2 linked regions of the Saccharomyces cerevisiae S288C genome follow. The protein of the gene in region 2 binds, or shares a complex with, the protein of the main gene of each other region. Each region holds a gene or a part of one and is shown on either strand. Other genes may lie near its edges. A codon is read from its position in the direction of its gene.

Region 1 (15,945 bases), on a different chromosome or scaffold from region 2:
GTTTCTAGTTTACCCTATCAGCTTATCGTATTTTTCTTTCATAATTTACATTTTATTTGAATATATAAATCATATTACTACTTTAATAGCATAAAACTCTTCAAAACATCTCATCCCGAAAAAGATTACTAAACTTAAAAATTACATGTTGCCTTGGTTTCATAATTTTGGTAATCATTCAAAATGGAAAATGTTAGCACATCTTGTTGCTGTTGTCAATGTATCTGTTATGCTATACAAAATTAAATTGTAGGGACGTAATCTTAATAAAAAGTTGAAAAAGGGTCTGAATGTTCTGAACCATTGTAAAGTATCCCGCTTGAACCTTGTTTTCCATCTCTATGCCTAAAAGTAAATCCAACAAGCTTGGAATCAACGGCAGAGTCATCGACCATTGCAGATAATTTGTTCTGTCTTTTGAAGACATCTGCATATTTAGCCATATCTTCTTCATTTGTGAAGTCATCGAAATAACCTGCATCCGTTTCATCATCTAATTGAGGAATAAATGGTGGAGAACTTGTTCTTAGGGTTTCAAAATTGATCTCTGCGAAATAAGACATTTTGCGAACTTGCTCAAAAGATCGTACTCTGTTGATGGGGTCAGCTATTAGTCTTGTAATTAAATCCCAGGTTCTATCTGAGAATGCTGCTCTTCTATCCTCAGTACGGGGCCTTCTTAAAGTTTTTTTCCAATATCTTAAATTCTCGTAAGTTTCATTAGTAGAAGAACCACTAAAAGGTGTATATCCAACCAAACTTTCAAAAAGCATACAGCCTAATGACCAATAATCCACTGTAAAATCGTATTTTTTACCTTCCAGAACTTCTAGGGCCATATAATCAGGCGAACCGACCATAGAGTTAGCGTAATTAATTTCTGTCTTCCTCATGTTATGATATATTTTCCTTCTATCCTCGATAGACCTTTCTGTGAAAGCAGGAAATTCCAAATTCTTTACTTCTTCTAAGCGTATTTTCATGCTTTCGATTCTTTCATTTGATACGGTCCCTGCTGCTAGACCAAAATCGGTCAGCTTGATATGCCCTGTAGCATCAATCAAGAAATTCTCCGGCTTTAAATCCCGGTGAGTGTAACCAAGTTCATGCAACGCGTTCACGGCACAAAACATTTCGCTGATATAGAACCTTGCGTGACCGCTCTTCAATATCCTTGTATTTATTAACAATGTGCGAAAATCACCACCAGGTACAAATTCCATTGCTAAATATAGGCTCTCTGGATCCTGAAATGCATAAAGCAACTTCACAAGCCAGTCAGATCTAGTTGTGGTTAGTATGTCCCTCTCAGTAAGGACGTGATTCGTCTCGTTTAGTTTGAATAAAAGTTTCTTGTTTAATATTTTCAAAGCACAAATTTCATCACTGTCTTTTTTTTTTGCAAGATAAACTTGCCCATAACCACCCTGTCCAACTTGTGTCAGTATCTGAAAATCCTTGTGCTTAGGTTTCAACCTCCTTTTTCTCAGTACTTCGTGTTCTCTTTGCAAATACAAAGCCCATTCTTCATTTAAAACCTTATTAGAAACGTTTTTGACACTTCTTTGCTGTTCAAGATATCTTAGCACCTGCTTCGTACGTTGTCTTCTGCTAATAACATAATCAAACATGTCACAGTAATAGTCGAGAAAGTAAAGTTGGCATACATTAACAACTCTCTGGGTTTTACTTTGGGAAGCACGCTCGTGAAAATCCTTGGGTAGCTTCTTCGGTGAGTGATTCAATGAAATGCGATTTTTGAAGGTATCTTGATCATCTGAATCACACGGCTTATATGATCTTGGAAGTCCGGGAGTTAATCTTCCATTTTCGCTCTTTCTAGCAGGCCTATATTGCGCCTGTGGAGAAGTAGGTTTAGGAATATTCAAATCATAGAACCCTAAATGACTCATATTACCAGCCAAATCATCTACCTCTCGATCACTTCGTGAAAACATGACTACCGAATTATTGTTGAATACGATATTCTGGGTTGCTAATCACTATTGGAGTTACAAGTTTGTTGCGACAATACAGTTCATCATGATCTGTGATCTAGCCGACTACAGGTCCATTGATTTGTGTTTACTCTCAAAATCTTGTATGAGGTGTATGGGTTAATTATCCATTCAAAGACAAAAATTTATGATCTTGGTGTTTGTATATAAAAATTAGTCAGAAGACATGCTTATTCTTGATTTTATATTAATTAGAAAGAGATGTTGCATTATCCCATACTTGTCGTTTGTCTTCTGCTACAATACATTGTGCTTTATGTTGCAAATATTTATTAATTCCGTTTATAGTGACTTGGATTCACAAAAATTTTGTGAAAAAATTATTGCGATGAGTTGAAAGAAAAAATTTCACTCATATTATGTAGAAGAGCAGGTATCAAGTGCATGAAAGTAAGTAGGTGAAAGAAGATATGTCAAATATTGTGGGTATTGAATATAACCGTGTAACGAATACAACCTCCACGGATTTTCCTGGTTTCTCGAAGGATGCAGAAAACGAGTGGAATGTGGAAAAATTCAAAAAGGACTTCGAAGTCAATATTTCGTCATTAGACGCAAGAGAGGCAAATTTCGACTTGATAAACATTGACACATCGATTGCGAATGCCTTTCGTCGTATAATGATTTCCGAGGTTCCATCCGTGGCTGCTGAATACGTCTATTTTTTTAACAATACATCCGTTATCCAAGATGAGGTTTTGGCTCATAGAATAGGCTTGGTTCCATTAAAAGTTGACCCTGATATGCTCACATGGGTTGATAGTAATTTGCCGGACGATGAAAAGTTTACGGATGAAAATACTATCGTTTTGAGTTTGAACGTGAAGTGCACAAGAAATCCAGATGCTCCAAAGGGATCTACTGATCCAAAGGAACTATATAACAATGCCCATGTCTACGCCCGTGATTTGAAGTTTGAACCACAGGGCAGACAATCTACCACTTTTGCTGATTGTCCGGTTGTTCCAGCTGATCCTGATATTTTATTAGCTAAGCTAAGGCCTGGTCAAGAAATTTCGTTGAAGGCACATTGCATTTTAGGTATCGGTGGTGATCATGCTAAATTTTCACCAGTTTCCACCGCTTCTTATAGATTATTACCTCAAATCAATATCTTACAGCCAATCAAAGGTGAAAGTGCCAGAAGATTTCAAAAATGTTTTCCCCCAGGTGTTATTGGTATTGATGAAGGTTCAGATGAAGCGTATGTCAAAGATGCTAGGAAGGATACGGTTTCCAGGGAGGTTTTAAGATACGAAGAGTTTGCTGATAAAGTTAAATTAGGAAGAGTGAGGAACCACTTTATTTTCAACGTAGAAAGCGCTGGTGCCATGACACCAGAAGAAATTTTTTTCAAATCCGTCAGGATTTTAAAGAATAAGGCTGAGTATTTGAAAAACTGTCCAATTACCCAATGATCCTACTTTGCATACTAATAAAAAAAACACAGTTTGAGAAAAATATTAAATACTTAACCTCAGGGTCTTTATCTTTGTATAATCTTTTCTTCTAGTATTAGTAGAATTGGCAAATCCTACCAAAAAAATACAAACCCATGAATCGTCATAGATAAGGAAATGTAATAGAATGATATATGTAAATGTAACTCTCTATAAAATAGTGCCGATAACAGTAATATGCATTACCCCTTATGGACTACATATATATACTATTAGACAGAATTGCTAGCATTCTCATTGTTGTCATTAATATTGCCGTCATTTAAAATGGCATTCATGGTTTTATTTAATGGTATTCGTGCAACTATTACAGAGCCATCGTAGCCATCACTATTTACAGGTTCTAGTCTTTCTGGCTCTTCAAAATCTAAATCTGCCAATACAACACATGTTAGTGAAAATAAAGTAAACTGTACAATAAGTATGCTAAATTCGAACATTACTAATCCAAGATTGCCGGAAAAGTTGCTCTTTGGTAGCCGTTCTCCGATCATCTGTAGAAAAAGCCCACCTCTTCTCTCACCCAAAAGTAGACCATCTGAATTGGAAAAGGGTGAGGGAGTATTCTTAGGGCCATCGTCTACTGGCTCGCTACCACTCAGGGGTTCAAAAAAATCAATTGGGAATAGGATTGTTAAGATAATGAAAAGCATATTCAACGATAAGCAACCATGAAATAAAAACTTCCGGATTTGCTTTTTCATGGACACAATAGCGGTATCATCATGGTCTTGTTGCTCAGCTTCACTAGAAGAATTATAAAGCATTTCTGTTCCAAACATTCCGGGAAACCTGATAGATCTTCCGCCTGGAAGTGTTGCAACCCCCGTCGTGTTATTATCTGCACCGAGGGTCGCTAGCCTACGTAACTTGGCATCACTTGGAAAAGGAGAACTTATGAGAGATTGCACTATTGCTCTTGTTATAAGTGTCCAGACGGTACGATCATACTTGATATATTCCAATGATATTAAAACATACCCGAGAAAGCTCAAATTATTCACCAAATTTCTTTGGAAGTTTCTTTTTCGTAGTTCGTATACTCGTTTGTTTCCTATACTTAAATTTCCTTCAGCAGTACTTTCAAAATTATCCATTATTATATTGGCCTTATTGAAAACATAGATTAGTTTGCTTTTGGCCTGCTAATGGATGACAAATAGCGTGCTTAGTATTTTTAGGCTTCCGCAGTTTAGCTTTATTTGATGATACGTCAAGAGTGCGGGATAATGTAGGTTCAAAAGGATCAAATTGTGTTTCGTTATATATGATTTCCTTGCAATAACTATAGAGAAGGAGAACAATATAACCTTGTGCATGAAAGCATCATAGTCTTAAAGAAAAAATTTAAACTAAAATGCAGAATCAATTCTCATGGATTTTTTATATAAAAAGAAGCTAAATAAGTGTTAACTTTAGGGAAAAAATTTTGCCACCTGTCAGAATTGAACTAACGACCTTTGCATTACAAGTGCAACGCTCTACCACTAAGCTAAGGAGGCTTTTACACTGTAGGGTATCCTCCAAGAAGGGACAAAGTGTCTGCATGGAAATTTGCAGCCGACTTCTCTTAATGTCTGTAACACTTAAACTATCATGGAGTGATTTCATTTCAACGATATCCCTAAAAGCGAACCAGAAGTGTTTTAGTTGAATCGTTTATTGGCTAGAACACTCGAATACAACGTATTAAACAAATGAAGAAACAATGACCGTATCATGAATTTCCTTTTATGGGGATTCCTTTTTCTGGTTATACTACTTTTTAAGAATTGGCATTTTCAGCCTTAGATTCCTCACTTTCAAAAGAAGCATGGTCCTTTATGAGACATTGCAATTATGTAACTTTCCGAACTAAATACTGAAATTTTTAATGGAAGCTTGAAAACTATAGAAGCTCTCCGTTTTAAAGGAGAAAGAGGATGATTACAATCCTTTGACTTGAACCGATCCATATATCCTCTCACTACTATTTACTCAAGTCTCCAAACTATGTATACATGTTGATGTGATTATGTGCGTTGCTAAATAATGTAAATTCCTCAAACACGATCTGACCCTGTCAATCTCACTGCTGCACCGTATTTTTGTAATTTTGTTAGCAAACCGTCACCTTGCTTAACTAGCAGATGGTATTGAGCATTTTTGTTGTCTGGCCTGTTGGTCTCTACGATCCCATTAACTCTATCAATGACACAATTTAGTTGCTTATTTGGAATAAACTTACCCAGGTCGTTATCCAAGAACGCAACCGAAACACCAAATGCGCTTGCCATAGATTTCAGCGACAAAGTCTTATATGATTCCAACAATTGTGCGTAGACTTTTCTTCTCATTTCTCTAACAAAGAAATCTGCATGTCTATTCAAATATTTACATGGAATCAAAACATTTGCATATGTTTCCAAAAGATATGGAAAGTAACTGGCATAATCGGACGCGTAAAGGGAAATTGTTAACGACGAGATAGATTGTAGTGCGGCAGTTGTTGAGATTAAAGATAACAATTCAGGTGAATCGATGACTTTGGATTTTAGGTCTGTTCTTTCCAGAGTGAATAAACCTGTGACCGATGCATATGTGGCAATGCTTTCATAGGAAGTTAATTCAATAGAGGTGAAAGTTGCTAGAGAATCGACCAATAACTTTGCCGCTTCCTTAAAGTTTCTTACGGCCAAGCAGTGGATACCATAGTATGTTTTATATCTATTTCTTCTCTCCCAGTCACCACCTTTTTCAATCATAGAATTGACTGCTTCCAACTTCTCCTTAACATAAAGTTGGTCGTTATAAAAGAACCCCAGCCTTGCAATTGTTAGCATAACATCAATTTTGGCGCCTGTGGAAATAGCCTTCGATAATGATTTCCCTAGCGTCTTTTCAGCATTATCTTTGTCACCGATTTGTGCATAATATTCACCCAGATTAATCCAGGCTTGAGCTTGTTCTAGTTCACCTTCATCATCTTCTTCCAATTTTTGGATCTTTTCATTTAACTCTTTAATCTTACTTTCATTTTTTTTGCACAATTCATTGTATAGCTCCTGGTCAAATTTGATCCATTCGTTTAAAGAATCTGACTTTTCATCGTGTTCCAAGTCAGATTGGCCATTATTAACAAGGTATTCCTCGCAAAGATATTTATAATAAGGGGCCATTTCTTCCTCTTTAATTTTGGCTAAAACGAACTCTGCCGCTTCCTTACGCTGTTCAATACTAACCTTTGATTGTGTCAAAAGAAACGCCTTTTCAGATACCTCATAATTGGGCACCCTATTCACCGTTGGATCAACATATTCAACTTCTTGACTTTTCTCTTCCACGTCTACCATTTTGCCGTGTTTATCCAGAATTTTTGCGTGTATTAGTAACTATTGTAACAGTGGTAAAAAGCGCAGTTTACTACAACAATAGAGATTTGTGTAGTGTTAACAATTAGGTTTTTCAATGCTGCCTTGTGTATATTAATCCTCAATGGGTGGCAAACTTAACTTATTCGGAAACTTGATTGAGCATGCATTTACGCGCCGTCGGTTATGATATGGGGAAAACAAGTGTTATTACAATAGTCCACTATAACTTTTAATAATTATATAGAATGCACTGTACTTTGTTGTTCCAATCGCTTCAAAATATCACATTTCTGAATTATAAGCTAAAGATTTCTGCACTGTATCTTAAACAAGTATTCTAGGACGAATAAAATCAATAAGTTTATGTAATGAGCCTAATTCACCCCGATACAGCAAAATATCCTTTTAAATTTGAACCTTTCCTCAGGCAAGAGTATTCGTTTTCACTCGATCCTGACAGACCTATTTGTGAATTTTACAATTCTAGAGAAGGCCCTAAATCATGTCCGAGGGGACCGTTATGTCCAAAAAAGCATGTGTTACCAATATTTCAGAATAAAATTGTTTGTAGACATTGGCTTCGAGGGTTGTGCAAAAAGAATGACCAATGTGAATACTTACATGAATACAATCTTCGAAAAATGCCTGAATGTGTCTTCTTCAGCAAAAACGGGTACTGTACACAAAGTCCAGATTGTCAATATCTACACATAGATCCCGCTAGCAAGATACCAAAATGTGAAAATTACGAAATGGGATTCTGTCCTCTGGGGAGTTCTTGTCCTAGACGGCATATTAAGAAGGTTTTCTGTCAAAGATACATGACCGGATTTTGTCCTTTAGGGAAGGATGAATGTGATATGGAACATCCACAGTTCATAATCCCAGATGAAGGTAGTAAATTAAGAATTAAGAGAGACGATGAGATAAATACCAGGAAAATGGATGAAGAAAAGGAAAGGCGTTTAAACGCAATTATAAACGGTGAAGTTTGATCTATGCATGGCTGGGGGTTTTCGATTTCATAGACATGTATATTATCATATATAGTTACTATCGAGTATAGTTATGAGATTTTCTAGAGGAAGTCTATCAACCAGAATTCTGGACAATAATGCTAGTTCTGACTTCCAATCCTGGAATAAATCGTTTCTTAACATGTTTAGATTTATAGGATCTTTTTTCAAAAGAGCATTTATCAGCCATTGGGACTGCTGTATAGATGAACTGCCAATACCTGGAGAGGATCCATGCGACACTAACGCCTGAAGTTCGTTGTAAGGCTCATGCTGCGATATAAATGATAAAAGACAAAGCCCCACGGCATACAAATCCGATTCAAATGTAGGAACATGATCGGAGGAGCTATCAATTAGTTCTGGTGCACAGTATTCTACCGTGGTATTCAGATCTGTTGGTGTTTGATTAATGTGAAATGCCGACGTAAAGTCAGCAAGGTAGAAGTCAAAATCCTTACAATGGCCTCCATTAAGAACATGCATTTCTGTTATTAAAATATTTGCTGTTTTTATATCACCATGAATTATACCATTTGTTTTCAAAGATTTTAATGCGTCTATCATTTGCTTCATAAGTCTCCACCATATTTTTCTTTTTGTTATCAACGAAAGCTTATGTGACACTGCTGTATTGAAGTGATATAAACTCATTTCGCATTTCGGAAGAATAAGGCCAGGAACACATTCGTTGGACCTCAGTCTTCTAAAATGGGATTTAGTTATGTATGTCAACCCATAGAATGGAATAATATGACTTTCATTGGTTGAAGGACTCATGTACTGGAGATATGCTAGCGTCAAAGCTTCCTGTAAAATCACCTTGCTTTTATGCTGTGATTTGGCAAACTTTAAAACAACCCCTGAATCGTTGTTACATCTTGATGAAGCACTTGATGATATAGGGTACACATATGAATAACTTCCCTGTCCCACTAATTTGTTAGACGGAAGAGAATAACTTGGATTTGACAAAAAATCCATCTCTGGAGCAAGTAATATGCCCATCAAAAACTCATCCAGAAATTCTAGGGAAGAAACTGTATTAGAAAGACGGAACATTAAAGCCAAATTCTCCGGAGAGTAAAACCGGGGGGTAGTGAACAATACGTCTAAATCGTTCTTTAGGTGCGCCTCCGAGGTAGCAACGGGCGCCTTACTAGAATAATCTGTCTGGAATGCCTCACTGAATTTAGCTGTCGGCTCCTCTACAGGAGATACCAGATGTGAATATGCGAAGTTACTTTTATGTTTTTGCGGTTGGCGATAAGCAAAACCCTTACTATTGTTACTTATGGATGGAAAGGAACCATCAGAAACCCTGGTGACGGGTGACGTAGGAGGTGTACTGTTCATAGCGTGACGTTTGAGAACTAGTCTTTGAGATGTGTTTTAAGACGATTTTTGCTGTTGATGAGGTTAGATCCCCGTTATATAAAGGCAAGAATCTATTAGCAGCGCTTTTTGTTTATTCAATGCTAGTCAAAATAAACAATAAGATAGACCCATACATCACAATCTAGCTGGTTTGCGATCATGTTGATTGACACATTATATCCTTGCTAGGGAACATAAATTTTCGTCATAGGCTATACAAGCAGCTGAGATATAGTGAAGGAGGTAAGCAACTTTTGAAACACATTTACGATCTTCTAACCTTATTAACTTGTTGCTTTAGCTTTTAGAACTCCATTTACGTCACTTTTTTGAATTTTCGCCTGTAAAGGAATTGTGAAAAAAGTGTGGGATAGAGATAGAACATAGAAAACAAACCAAATTCGTTGGGACAGCGAAGTAGCGCAAACTAACGATACTGTATTGTCAGGCTCTAAAAGGGTGAAGTTTTGATGGAAGGGCAAAAATCGAATGCATCATGGGAGAGCTCGATCATCGAGGGCCAATTGTCTAAAAATCTAGCAAGGTACACCTTGTTATTAGACAAATTATCGACACTATCTCAAATAGACAAGCTGTCTGAAGTGATAGCCAATGATTACGCAAAACAATCTAAACAATTAAATGCATTTGTGCAACAGTCGCAATCATCGCTCAACAAAGAGTCCCGGAAATTAGAATTGCAAAGAACTAACCTTACGACTACTTTGACTCAGTTTCATGAGACTGTGGCCACCATTTCTTCTTCGAACGCAAGAGCAAAAGCTATACATGACGATATTGAAACTGTAGATCAGGAACGCGCTTTGGTCAACAAAACGTTACAATTTGTAAAAGACGTCAGGACGCTAAAGAATAATATTTCACTGGCGCATTCTGCTTTAGAAACAAAGGATTACTTAGTTGCTGCGACAGCAATCAATGAAATTAGAAGCCTTCCGGATAAAAAACTTATTGTATCCGAGTTTGCCAAGAAAGTTGTGCCCTCGAGTGAAATTCCCGAAGAACCAGCTATACTAATAAAGAATTGGTGTAAGGAACTGACAAGTTTATTTCAGGAGCAATTCATGGAAGCAACAAGAACACAGGATATTAAAGAGCTAACCTTAATGTTCAAAATGTTCCCTATGATTGGGCAGGACGTACTTGGTTTAGACCTGTATTCCAAATATGTCTGTGATATTATTGCGGACGAAAGCAGGAAAATTATGTCGAATTCTATGGAAAACAGCACCAAGTTTCAAGGATTTTTTTCACAAGTACTGTTACATCTTTTTAAAATTGTATCGACCATTATAAATGATCATTCAAAAGTCATCGCCACGTGTTATGGAAAAAAGCACATGGTGCATGTCATGGAAAAAGTAGAAAAAGAAGCTGATCTTCAAGCTAGTTTGATTCTAGATATTTTTATGGAGACGAGGAAAATAGAAAGGACTATACATGATATAAATGAATGGGAACATTCACAAAAGAATGAAGATGTGAATATAGACAGTAATCAGTCGGATATCGAAACAGACGGAGAAACGGAAAAGAGCTCAATTATATCCATTCATGACTTGGCATTATTGATAATGGAATTTTCTCAAATACTTCAAAATTGGTCCATGTATTCTAGATTTTATTCAGTTAAATGGAATGAATTTAGCGATTTGCATCCGCATGTATTGCAACCACCTCCACCAATAGCAGATGGTAAATTTGCCTTAAAGTTAAAGCAAGATAAGGTCTTTGATGAGTTTCAGGTGTTTGTGTTGAACCATCTGCAGAGATCATTTAGAAATAGTATTTCACTAGAAGAATTACCGTCACTGAACGATCTTATAACTGCTGTTCCCCTCAATGACCACGATAACATTTCATACCCTGTAACATCTGTTTTAGATGACTTAATTTTATTAGTTCGGAAAAATCTGATATCAGTGGTTAATACTGGCCAGTTTAAGCTCTTAGCAAGTTTTTTGAACGAGTTGGTAAAATTTTTTCAGAACCGATTTCTGGTAAAATTTATGCAAAACAAATTTAAGTTACTACAATCGAAACTAGCCTCCAATGTATCTTTGAAAAGATACATTCCAAAAGGTGAGGAGCAATCTGCAACATCAAGATCGGTTTCTCCACCTGCAAATAAGTTTTCTCCGCTAAGCAGGTTCACTTTTAGAGGGGCAGCAGCTAGCGCTTTGACAAATATTCAATCAAATTTACAAGCCGTAGTTGCAGAGGACGAGGATTCCATTCTTGCGTTGCACCATTATTTGATATATCTGAACACGTTGTACTTGAGTAAAGTATACGTTCACAGGCTGTTATCCATAGAAATATTAGAAGACGATTCGCAAAGGATTTTGAGAGACAATTTCCCTTTTGACAATGATGCAGCGCAGTTACAGAATTTAATTATAAACTCAGAAAAATTAGTCCTGGAACAAACAGATAAGCTAAGCAAATGGGCTGTCAAATACTTGTTCCAAAATATCCTACAAAATAGGGTTCGGAACTTATTGGGAACTGTTTTTGTTAATTCAGCCTCATCAAATTCCTCAACGTCCAATCAAAAAAATGTGTCTCGCGATTATTCTGCAGGTTCGAACCAAAAGAATTACATCACAAGCATAGAAGATTTCGAAGATTTGTCGCAAATTAACAGTTTCAATAGCAAATGGAACCAATTGATTATCCCTTACAAAAATATTCTTCACAACGAAGCATATGCAGAGTTGCTATCTGTCATAGTCGACTACATCGTAACAACATTGGAGCAAAGAATATGGACTCTAGAATTCAATGAACTTGGTGTTACGAAATTAGATAGAGAACTGAGCCTTTTCATCGGCAATATGTGTGGCTTGAACTATAATCTCAGAGAGAAGTTCTTGAAATTGACACAAATCGTGTTGCTTCTCGGTTTAGATGATGACAATTTTGATTTGACTACAGGTGATATCAAGGATGACTTCAATGGTACTTTCGATTGGGTGATAAACTCTCAGGAAAGAATTAAAGCTAGAAATATGAAGATTGATAGAACACAGTAAATATAACATAAGCTTTACGAGCTGAATACTAAGTAGTTTCATATAAACGCAAACATAATCTTGGCTGTTGTACCTTTTCTGCATACTCTTGACTGTTAATACATTTCTTATTTTTCTTATGAAAGAGCACAACATGATAGCGCCATACTATCATTCTGAACGTTGCGATTAACTGGAAATTACGAAGACTAAGACAAGAAAAATTAAAAGCGTTAATAAAAAATAAACAAAGGAACCTTTGAAATATATTCCGTCACCAAGCTAAGAAAGGAGTAGCTCTTTCTCTAAGGCCAACTTTGTCATCCTTTGAGTTAGTTTAAAGTCTATTAATATTTGCTATTATCTTCTGGGCTGGATAAATAGGACTTTTCTATTGGCACATTTTTTTCTCTTGTAGAAGGTCATCACGAATATTAATTTTGTATTTGAAAGCATTTTATTTTCTCCTTTTTTTATTACCATAATATACCTGGTACTGGTTTTTACCTGATTTAACGTCTAGCCGCTCAAAACAAAAACCCACTCATATCTATACAAATATAAGAATAAGATGGATGGGGAAATGGCAATAATAGAAAGCAGCAATCATGTCGGGACTTCATCGCCTACCACTGAAACACAGTTTACTATAGATTCTTCCGCATTGAAAGACCAAGAAACCAAAGAAAGCATAACAAATTCACCGACAAGCGAGGTACCGATTGAAACAAAACTACCAAAAAGTTCTGATATAGTAACAGAGGAAAAACATCCTCAAAACACGACTACTGATATTGAAAACGAGGTAGAGAATCCTGTTACAGACGATAATGGAAATTTGAAACTTGAATTACCTGATAACCTTGATAACGCTGATTTTTCGAAGCTACTGGAATTTGATGCAAAAAATGATGAAGCTCTGTTCAACTCAAATGAGTTGTTATCCCACACCATGGATCCTGTAAATAACATCGATTTAACTCATGATCACAGCAGGGAGGTTTCATCAAAAGAAGATATCAATATAGAGCCAGTAAACCCTGATGAGGACGAAAGGGAGAAAACTCAAGATAACACAGCAGCAGTGAAAACTGAAGGCATAAGGAACTCAGAAGATACAAGTATACAAAAGGATGAACCCACTGCTGATGCTATATACACAGATGTGCATAAATTATCAGTAAACAAAGATACCGAGACCCTACCAACATTAGTAGATGAAAAAAACAACATGCTGCATATGAGAAACAATTCAATAACGCCAATAATGTTTCAGCAGCATGAATTAGTGGGACAACCGCCACAAAACACTGTAACGGAAAATAATAGTACAGATGCTGAAACTACCCAACGAAAACTATCTGAGCCAATCGATGCAAGTTTACCGCTACCGAATGAACAACCGACTATCTTCGCCTATGCAAGGCTGGACTTTCAAAGTTTCACATTTTATGTACAAACATTACATGCAATAATCGGAAGGAGGTCTGAGAATGACTTCTCCCACAAAGTTGACGTTAATCTTGGTCCTTCAAAATCAATATCGAGGAGACACGCCCAGATTTTTTACAATTTTGGGACAGGAAGGTTCGAATTGTCCATAATAGGGAAGAATGGTGCTTTTGTGGATGACATTTTCGTTGAAAAAGGAAATACTGTGCCACTTCGTAATAAGACAAAAATTCAAATTGGACAAATTCCATTTCAATTTATTTTACCAGAACAAGAACGTAACGACGATAGCAAAAGCCCAGAAAACGCTGACATAGCAGAATCTGAAATAAATACAAGAAATCTCAAAAAAAACGAGCCCAAATCTAAGAAAAAGATTACAACTGGAGCAAAGCCCAAGAAAGCGCAGACCAAACCAGCTGTTAAGAAAGAAAAGAAGCCACCGAAAATACCAAAGAAAGTATATACTTTGGAGGAGATTCCAGTAGAATATAGAACGAAACCTACTGTATCTTACTCTGCTATGCTAACTACTTGCATACGAAAGTACTCGACTGCCAAGGGAATGTCTTTATCTGAAATTTATGCAGGAATAAGAGAACTCTTCCCCTATTATAAATACTGTCCTGATGGGTGGCAAAGCTCGGTAAGACACAACTTATCGCTAAATAAATCTTTCAGGAAGGTTTCTAAAGAAGGCAAAGGATGGTTATGGGGTCTTGATGAAGAATATATTGCAGAGAGGGAACGACAGAAAAAGAAACAAAGTGAGATAGCTGTGGCAAAGGCACAAGCTGCACAATTAAAACTTGAACAGCAACAGCACAAACTTCAGCAAGTGCCGCAGAGGGGCAAAAAAGATATTGTTTCGCAGAGATCTAACGTTAATGCGAGAAAACAAAACATCTCACAAACTCTTGCAGCAAACAGAGCCGCCTCGAACAGGAAAAATACAGCAAGTGATAATCAAAGGACAATGAAATATCTGCAGGAACAGCTTGTCATTTTAACACGAGATAGAAAGGGTTTATCGAAGCAGGTCATCGCTGCAATTTTGACGCAGGCTCTAGCTATGACAATAAATCAGGTTACACAAGCGGCAAAAAACAAGGGGATTACTGGTAATCCACTTACAGCCTTGATGGACAAGAATCCTCAGCATTTGAATCTAATTTTAGCAGCTGCTGTAAACGCGGCAACTGCAAAAGTCACAAAAGGTGAGGTAAAGCAATTAGTGAACCCTGAAACTACAGCGGCGGCGGCTTTAGCAGCTAAGGCACAGCATTCCAAACCGATACGCCAACCAATAGTCCAGACGCCGCATGTACCAGATAGGCCTCCATCTCAGTTATCTGCGTCGGCATCATCCCATCCCAATAATTACTTGCATGATAAACAACCGGGATCGTTTGATCCTTCGTCCTTGTCTCGATTTTTTCAACCGAGACAAAATGCTAGGGCTACATCCTCTGTGGCAGCTACGTCAGTTCCGGCGGCTGCTTCTCAAAATGTTGATGCACAACCCAAACCTAAGCCTGCACAGGACAACGACTTAGAAAGTGAAAGCGGCACTAGTAGTAGTAGCAGTTCCAGTAGTGAGAGCGGAAGCGAGAGCGATAGTGGTAGCGATGACGGTAGTGCTAGTGGAAGCGGCGATAATAGCAGCACTAGTAGTGAAAGCGAAAGCGAAAGTGATAGTGGAAGCGAAGTAGATGAAAAGAACAACAAAAACGAAAAGATCGATAGTGAAAGTATTAAAAACAACGAATCTAAAGATGATATTCCATCTAAAGACGAGAATAGTAGCAATGATAATCGCGAGATTTCAAAAACCGACGAAGAAGGTCATGATTCTAAAAGGCGGAAGGTCAGCGAGGATATCAACGAGGGTATCACTGAAGTAAATGTATCCCTTGAGGAAAAACTTTAAAAAATTTCGATAATAGTATTAGCATATTCGAAGTAGAAGCATAAATCTTTTCATAAAGATAGATCGGATCAAGCCATAGTAATAGGTATGAATCTATGCGTCCTATTCTGTTTTGCGTTGTTGAGATTCAGTCTTCGATTTTTACAAAATTTTCCATCGGGTCGCCTCTACAACTACTTATTCACTTCGTTTGATTTCGGGTTTCACTTTTTGTTTGCATTGATGGCGTCTGTCCTCATATTACCGAACAATACTTAAAGATATAATTATATAAAAATATATAGATGTGATGATTGGAAACATG
Region 2 (4,328 bases):
GGAAAAAAAAAAAGACGAAATCCAAAAGGCTAAGGAAACGGGTAACCCGTGGTACCCGGGGCAGAATCAAACTTATAATTACTAAAGATATACCATATATTACGATCCCTGCGCCCGGCGTGCTCCACATTAAGTAAATGTCTGGAGTAAAATGAAGTCCGCCAATTCAGTCACAAAACATGACTACTGCCTCGTTCGCGATTTCTTCTTCCCTTACTTCATCATGTTCAAGCCCCCTCAGCTGCGCCCAAATGATTCTTCTTATCCTCTTGCATACTGCACCGAAAAAAAAAGTTAATAAGCAGCAGGATTTATAGGCGCGTGCGTGCAGCCTTAGACTGAAGGGGTGGAAAAACTTTAGGTAGGTTTGGTTCTCACTACCCAAAGAGCAATCGATAGGTATAAAAGTGAGCAATTGCTATCACAGCGAGCCTTATTGTTACAGCACAAATCACGCGTATTTTCAAGCAAATATCATGGGTCTCTGCGCATCTTCAGAAAAGAACGGCAGCACTCCTGACACGCAGACCGCCAGCGCTGGTAGTGACAACGTTGGCAAAGCGAAGGTACCACCAAAGCAGGAGCCACAGAAGACTGTGAGAACAGTCAACACAGCAAATCAACAAGAAAAGCAACAACAGAGGCAGCAGCAGCCGTCTCCGCATAATGTTAAGGACCGCAAGGAGCAAAACGGGAGCATTAATAACGCGATATCTCCCACGGCTACGGCAAATACAAGCGGATCGCAACAGATCAATATCGACTCTGCCCTGAGAGACAGGTCGAGTAACGTTGCAGCACAACCATCATTGTCGGACGCTTCAAGTGGCAGCAACGACAAAGAACTGAAAGTGCTACTGCTGGGTGCCGGTGAAAGTGGTAAGTCCACGGTATTGCAGCAGTTGAAGATTTTACACCAGAACGGGTTTAGCGAGCAGGAAATTAAAGAGTACATCCCCTTGATCTATCAGAATCTATTGGAAATTGGCAGGAACCTCATCCAGGCGAGAACAAGGTTTAACGTCAACTTGGAACCGGAGTGTGAACTGACGCAACAAGACCTGTCGAGAACCATGTCCTATGAAATGCCCAATAACTACACGGGCCAATTCCCGGAAGATATCGCGGGCGTAATATCTACGTTGTGGGCCTTGCCCTCAACACAAGATTTAGTCAATGGGCCTAACGCATCGAAGTTCTATCTAATGGACTCGACTCCTTACTTCATGGAAAATTTCACCAGGATCACTTCGCCCAATTACAGACCCACCCAGCAGGACATATTAAGATCGAGACAGATGACGTCAGGGATTTTTGACACCGTCATTGATATGGGGTCGGATATCAAGATGCATATTTACGACGTGGGTGGACAGCGTTCCGAAAGAAAAAAATGGATACACTGCTTCGACAATGTCACTCTGGTCATATTTTGCGTTTCTCTATCGGAGTACGACCAGACGCTGATGGAGGACAAGAACCAGAACAGGTTTCAGGAATCGCTGGTGCTTTTCGATAATATTGTCAACAGTAGATGGTTCGCGCGCACGTCTGTCGTACTCTTTCTGAATAAAATCGACCTTTTTGCTGAAAAACTAAGCAAAGTGCCTATGGAAAATTACTTCCCAGACTACACCGGCGGGTCAGACATCAACAAGGCTGCTAAGTACATACTCTGGAGGTTTGTTCAGTTAAACAGGGCGAATCTAAGCATATATCCTCACGTGACACAGGCCACAGACACGTCGAATATAAGATTAGTATTTGCCGCCATCAAAGAAACAATTTTGGAAAATACATTGAAAGACTCTGGAGTGTTACAATGAATGCACAGCTAAAACAGAGACAAAACTGCATGCCTCTTCTCCCCTTTATTATCACCTTTAAAAAAGATAAAAAAAGAAACTGGAAAAAAGGTAAAAAAAAAAAAAAAATTAAATAAATACGAATACGTTTTCTCATGACCATTGTACTAGTAATCACAACCATGATACTTGAATAACTTTTCTGTTTTGTGCTGTATTAAGCACAACCGTTATTTTTTAATTTATAGCGTTATACCACTATATTATTGTAGTCATTATAGTTATTATCCCGGGTAACAAAAATTTCATTCCAACGAGGTAATAGTTCCACTTTTCAGGCAGGAGGACGAAAAACATTTGCCACCCAAGAAAGAGACAAAGCAGTAGGTAAGGCATTCATCACACAATTTGAAAGGGGGTATAGTAAAAAAAATTCAATTGAGCAAATAGAATGGCTAGCACTGCAGTAATGATGGACGTGGATTCTTCCGGGGTCAATGACTTGCACCATTCTGAGAAGAAATATGCGGAAGAAGATCAGGTTCAGGAACTATTGAAAGTTTTGAATGAGATCTCCAAGACCACTTTAACGCTGGACCCAAGATATATATGGAGGAGTTTAAAGGACTTGAGCTCTTTAAGGAACCAGGAGCTTTTGAATGCGGAAACTTTATGTTTCACAGTGAATGTGCTGTACCCTGATTCTTCTTCATTCAAGAAGAATCTGCTGAAGTTCATTACTTCTAACCATAAATCGTCCGTACCGGGGTCAGCTGAGCTTAGAAACTCATATCCAGCCTCTTTTTATTCCGTAAACACTGAGAAAAAGACCATTGAAGTGACAGCTGAAATTAATTGCTTCATGCATCTACTAGTCCAGTTGTTTTTATGGGACAGTAAAGAATTAGAACAATTGGTAGAGTTTAATAGGAAGGTTGTTATCCCAAATTTATTGTGTTATTACAATTTGCGTTCCTTGAATTTAATCAACGCTAAGTTATGGTTCTACATCTACTTGAGTCATGAAACGTTAGCGCGCAGCTCCGAGGAGATTAACAGCGACAACCAAAATATAATCTTAAGGTCCACGATGATGAAGTTTTTGAAAATCGCTTCCCTGAAGCACGACAACGAAACCAAAGCCATGCTGATTAACTTGATCTTGAGAGATTTTTTGAATAATGGCGAGGTTGATAGCGCGTCTGATTTCATTTCTAAACTAGAATATCCTCACACAGACGTTTCCAGTTCATTGGAGGCAAGATATTTCTTCTATTTATCGAAAATTAACGCCATTCAACTGGATTATTCCACTGCGAACGAGTACATTATTGCAGCCATAAGAAAAGCCCCACATAATTCCAAGAGTTTAGGGTTCTTACAGCAATCAAACAAACTGCATTGTTGTATTCAATTACTCATGGGTGATATTCCAGAATTATCATTTTTCCATCAATCAAATATGCAGAAATCTCTCCTTCCTTATTACCATTTGACCAAAGCCGTTAAATTAGGTGACTTGAAAAAATTCACATCTACAATCACAAAGTATAAGCAGTTGCTATTGAAGGATGACACCTATCAACTCTGTGTTAGATTAAGATCTAATGTTATCAAGACAGGTATCAGGATCATCTCCTTAACGTATAAAAAAATTTCATTAAGAGATATTTGTTTGAAACTGAATTTGGATTCGGAGCAAACTGTAGAATACATGGTTTCAAGGGCTATTAGAGATGGTGTTATTGAAGCCAAGATTAATCACGAGGATGGCTTTATCGAAACCACAGAATTACTAAACATTTATGATAGTGAAGATCCTCAGCAAGTATTTGATGAAAGAATCAAATTTGCCAACCAATTACATGATGAATACCTTGTTTCAATGAGGTACCCTGAGGATAAAAAGACTCAACAAAATGAGAAAAGTGAAAATGGTGAAAATGATGATGATACGCTAGATGGTGATTTGATGGATGACATGTCTGATATCTCGGATCTCGACGATTTGGGATTCTTATAAGGGCGCATAAAAAATAAATAACTACCATTCATAACAGAAATTCATTCGTATATACATAAAGTTCTCATAAACGTATATATATATATATATATATACTTATTGATATCAAAGTGTGTTACTTTCTACATTCATAGACGGGGAAGAAAAGTGAGGAAAAGTTGTTTTCTCTTGTGCACTGCAGCCCTTTGAAAAAGTAGAACTGCAGAAAAAATAACTGAACGTAAAGCATTATTTACTTTTCAAAGGCAAAAGAGATAGAGCCAAAAAAATTGTAAGCAGCTTAAAAGCCATAATGACAACGGAAGATCCAGATTCAAATCACTTAAGTTCCGAAACTGGCATTAAATTGGCATTGGACCCGAACTTAATTACATTGGCACTAAGTTCTAATCCAAACTCTAGCCTTCATTCACCAACGTCTGATGAACCCGTACCTGAATCTGCAGGAAAAGCAGATACTAGTATTCGACTAGAAGGTGATGAGTTAGAGAATAAAACTA

Evidence for each region.
Region 1: the proteins of RPN3 (region 2) and RPN7 are in contact, whole or in part, in a cryo-EM structure (PDB 5MPD), measured with the Saccharomyces cerevisiae proteins. Residues at the interface, in NP_010938.1 of Saccharomyces cerevisiae: Arg298 (codon at 3,148), His302 (codon at 3,160), Leu397 (codon at 3,445), Thr398 (codon at 3,448), Tyr399 (codon at 3,451), Lys400 (codon at 3,454), Lys401 (codon at 3,457), Ile402 (codon at 3,460), Phe442 (codon at 3,580), Leu449 (codon at 3,601), Asn450 (codon at 3,604), Ile451 (codon at 3,607), Tyr452 (codon at 3,610), Pro457 (codon at 3,625), Val460 (codon at 3,634), Phe461 (codon at 3,637), Arg464 (codon at 3,646), Phe467 (codon at 3,655), Leu471 (codon at 3,667), Glu474 (codon at 3,676), Tyr475 (codon at 3,679), Ser478 (codon at 3,688); in NP_015433.1 of Saccharomyces cerevisiae: Asp365 (codon at 5,718), Gly369 (codon at 5,706), Ile372 (codon at 5,697), Pro373 (codon at 5,694), Lys375 (codon at 5,688), Cys379 (codon at 5,676), Val380 (codon at 5,673), Ile381 (codon at 5,670), Asp382 (codon at 5,667), Arg383 (codon at 5,664), Val384 (codon at 5,661), Asn385 (codon at 5,658), Glu389 (codon at 5,646), Pro393 (codon at 5,634), Asn395 (codon at 5,628), Lys396 (codon at 5,625), Asn397 (codon at 5,622), Tyr400 (codon at 5,613), His401 (codon at 5,610), Val404 (codon at 5,601), Asp408 (codon at 5,589), Leu411 (codon at 5,580), Gln415 (codon at 5,568), Lys416 (codon at 5,565), Arg422 (codon at 5,547).

The regions. Positions count from the first base shown.
Region 1 is NC_001148.4:733,319-749,263, reverse strand, and holds RPN7 (proteasome regulatory particle lid subunit RPN7), read right to left. Parts: upstream 6,811-15,945; coding exon 5,521-6,810; downstream 1-5,520. Other genes in the region: RNA-binding ribosome biosynthesis protein MRD1, read left to right, coding at 1-8; serine/threonine-protein kinase DBF20, read right to left, coding at 264-1,958; DNA-directed RNA polymerase core subunit RPC40, read left to right, coding at 2,429-3,436; GLD1 (Gld1p), read right to left, coding at 3,691-4,575; cleavage polyadenylation factor RNA-binding subunit YTH1, read left to right, coding at 7,200-7,826; putative protein kinase ISR1, read right to left, coding at 7,872-9,203; Golgi transport complex subunit COG4, read left to right, coding at 9,695-12,280; FHL1 (Fhl1p), read left to right, coding at 12,831-15,641. UniProt on the Saccharomyces cerevisiae protein: Component of the 19S cap proteasome complex which acts as a regulatory subunit of the 26S proteasome, involved in the ATP-dependent degradation of ubiquitinated proteins.
Region 2 is NC_001137.3:194,692-199,019, forward strand, and holds RPN3 (proteasome regulatory particle lid subunit RPN3), read left to right. Parts: upstream 1-2,256; coding exon 2,257-3,828; downstream 3,829-4,328. Other genes in the region: GPA2 (guanine nucleotide-binding protein subunit alpha), read left to right, coding at 477-1,826; SRB4 (Srb4p), read left to right, coding at 4,121-4,328. UniProt on the Saccharomyces cerevisiae protein: Acts as a regulatory subunit of the 26S proteasome which is involved in the ATP-dependent degradation of ubiquitinated proteins.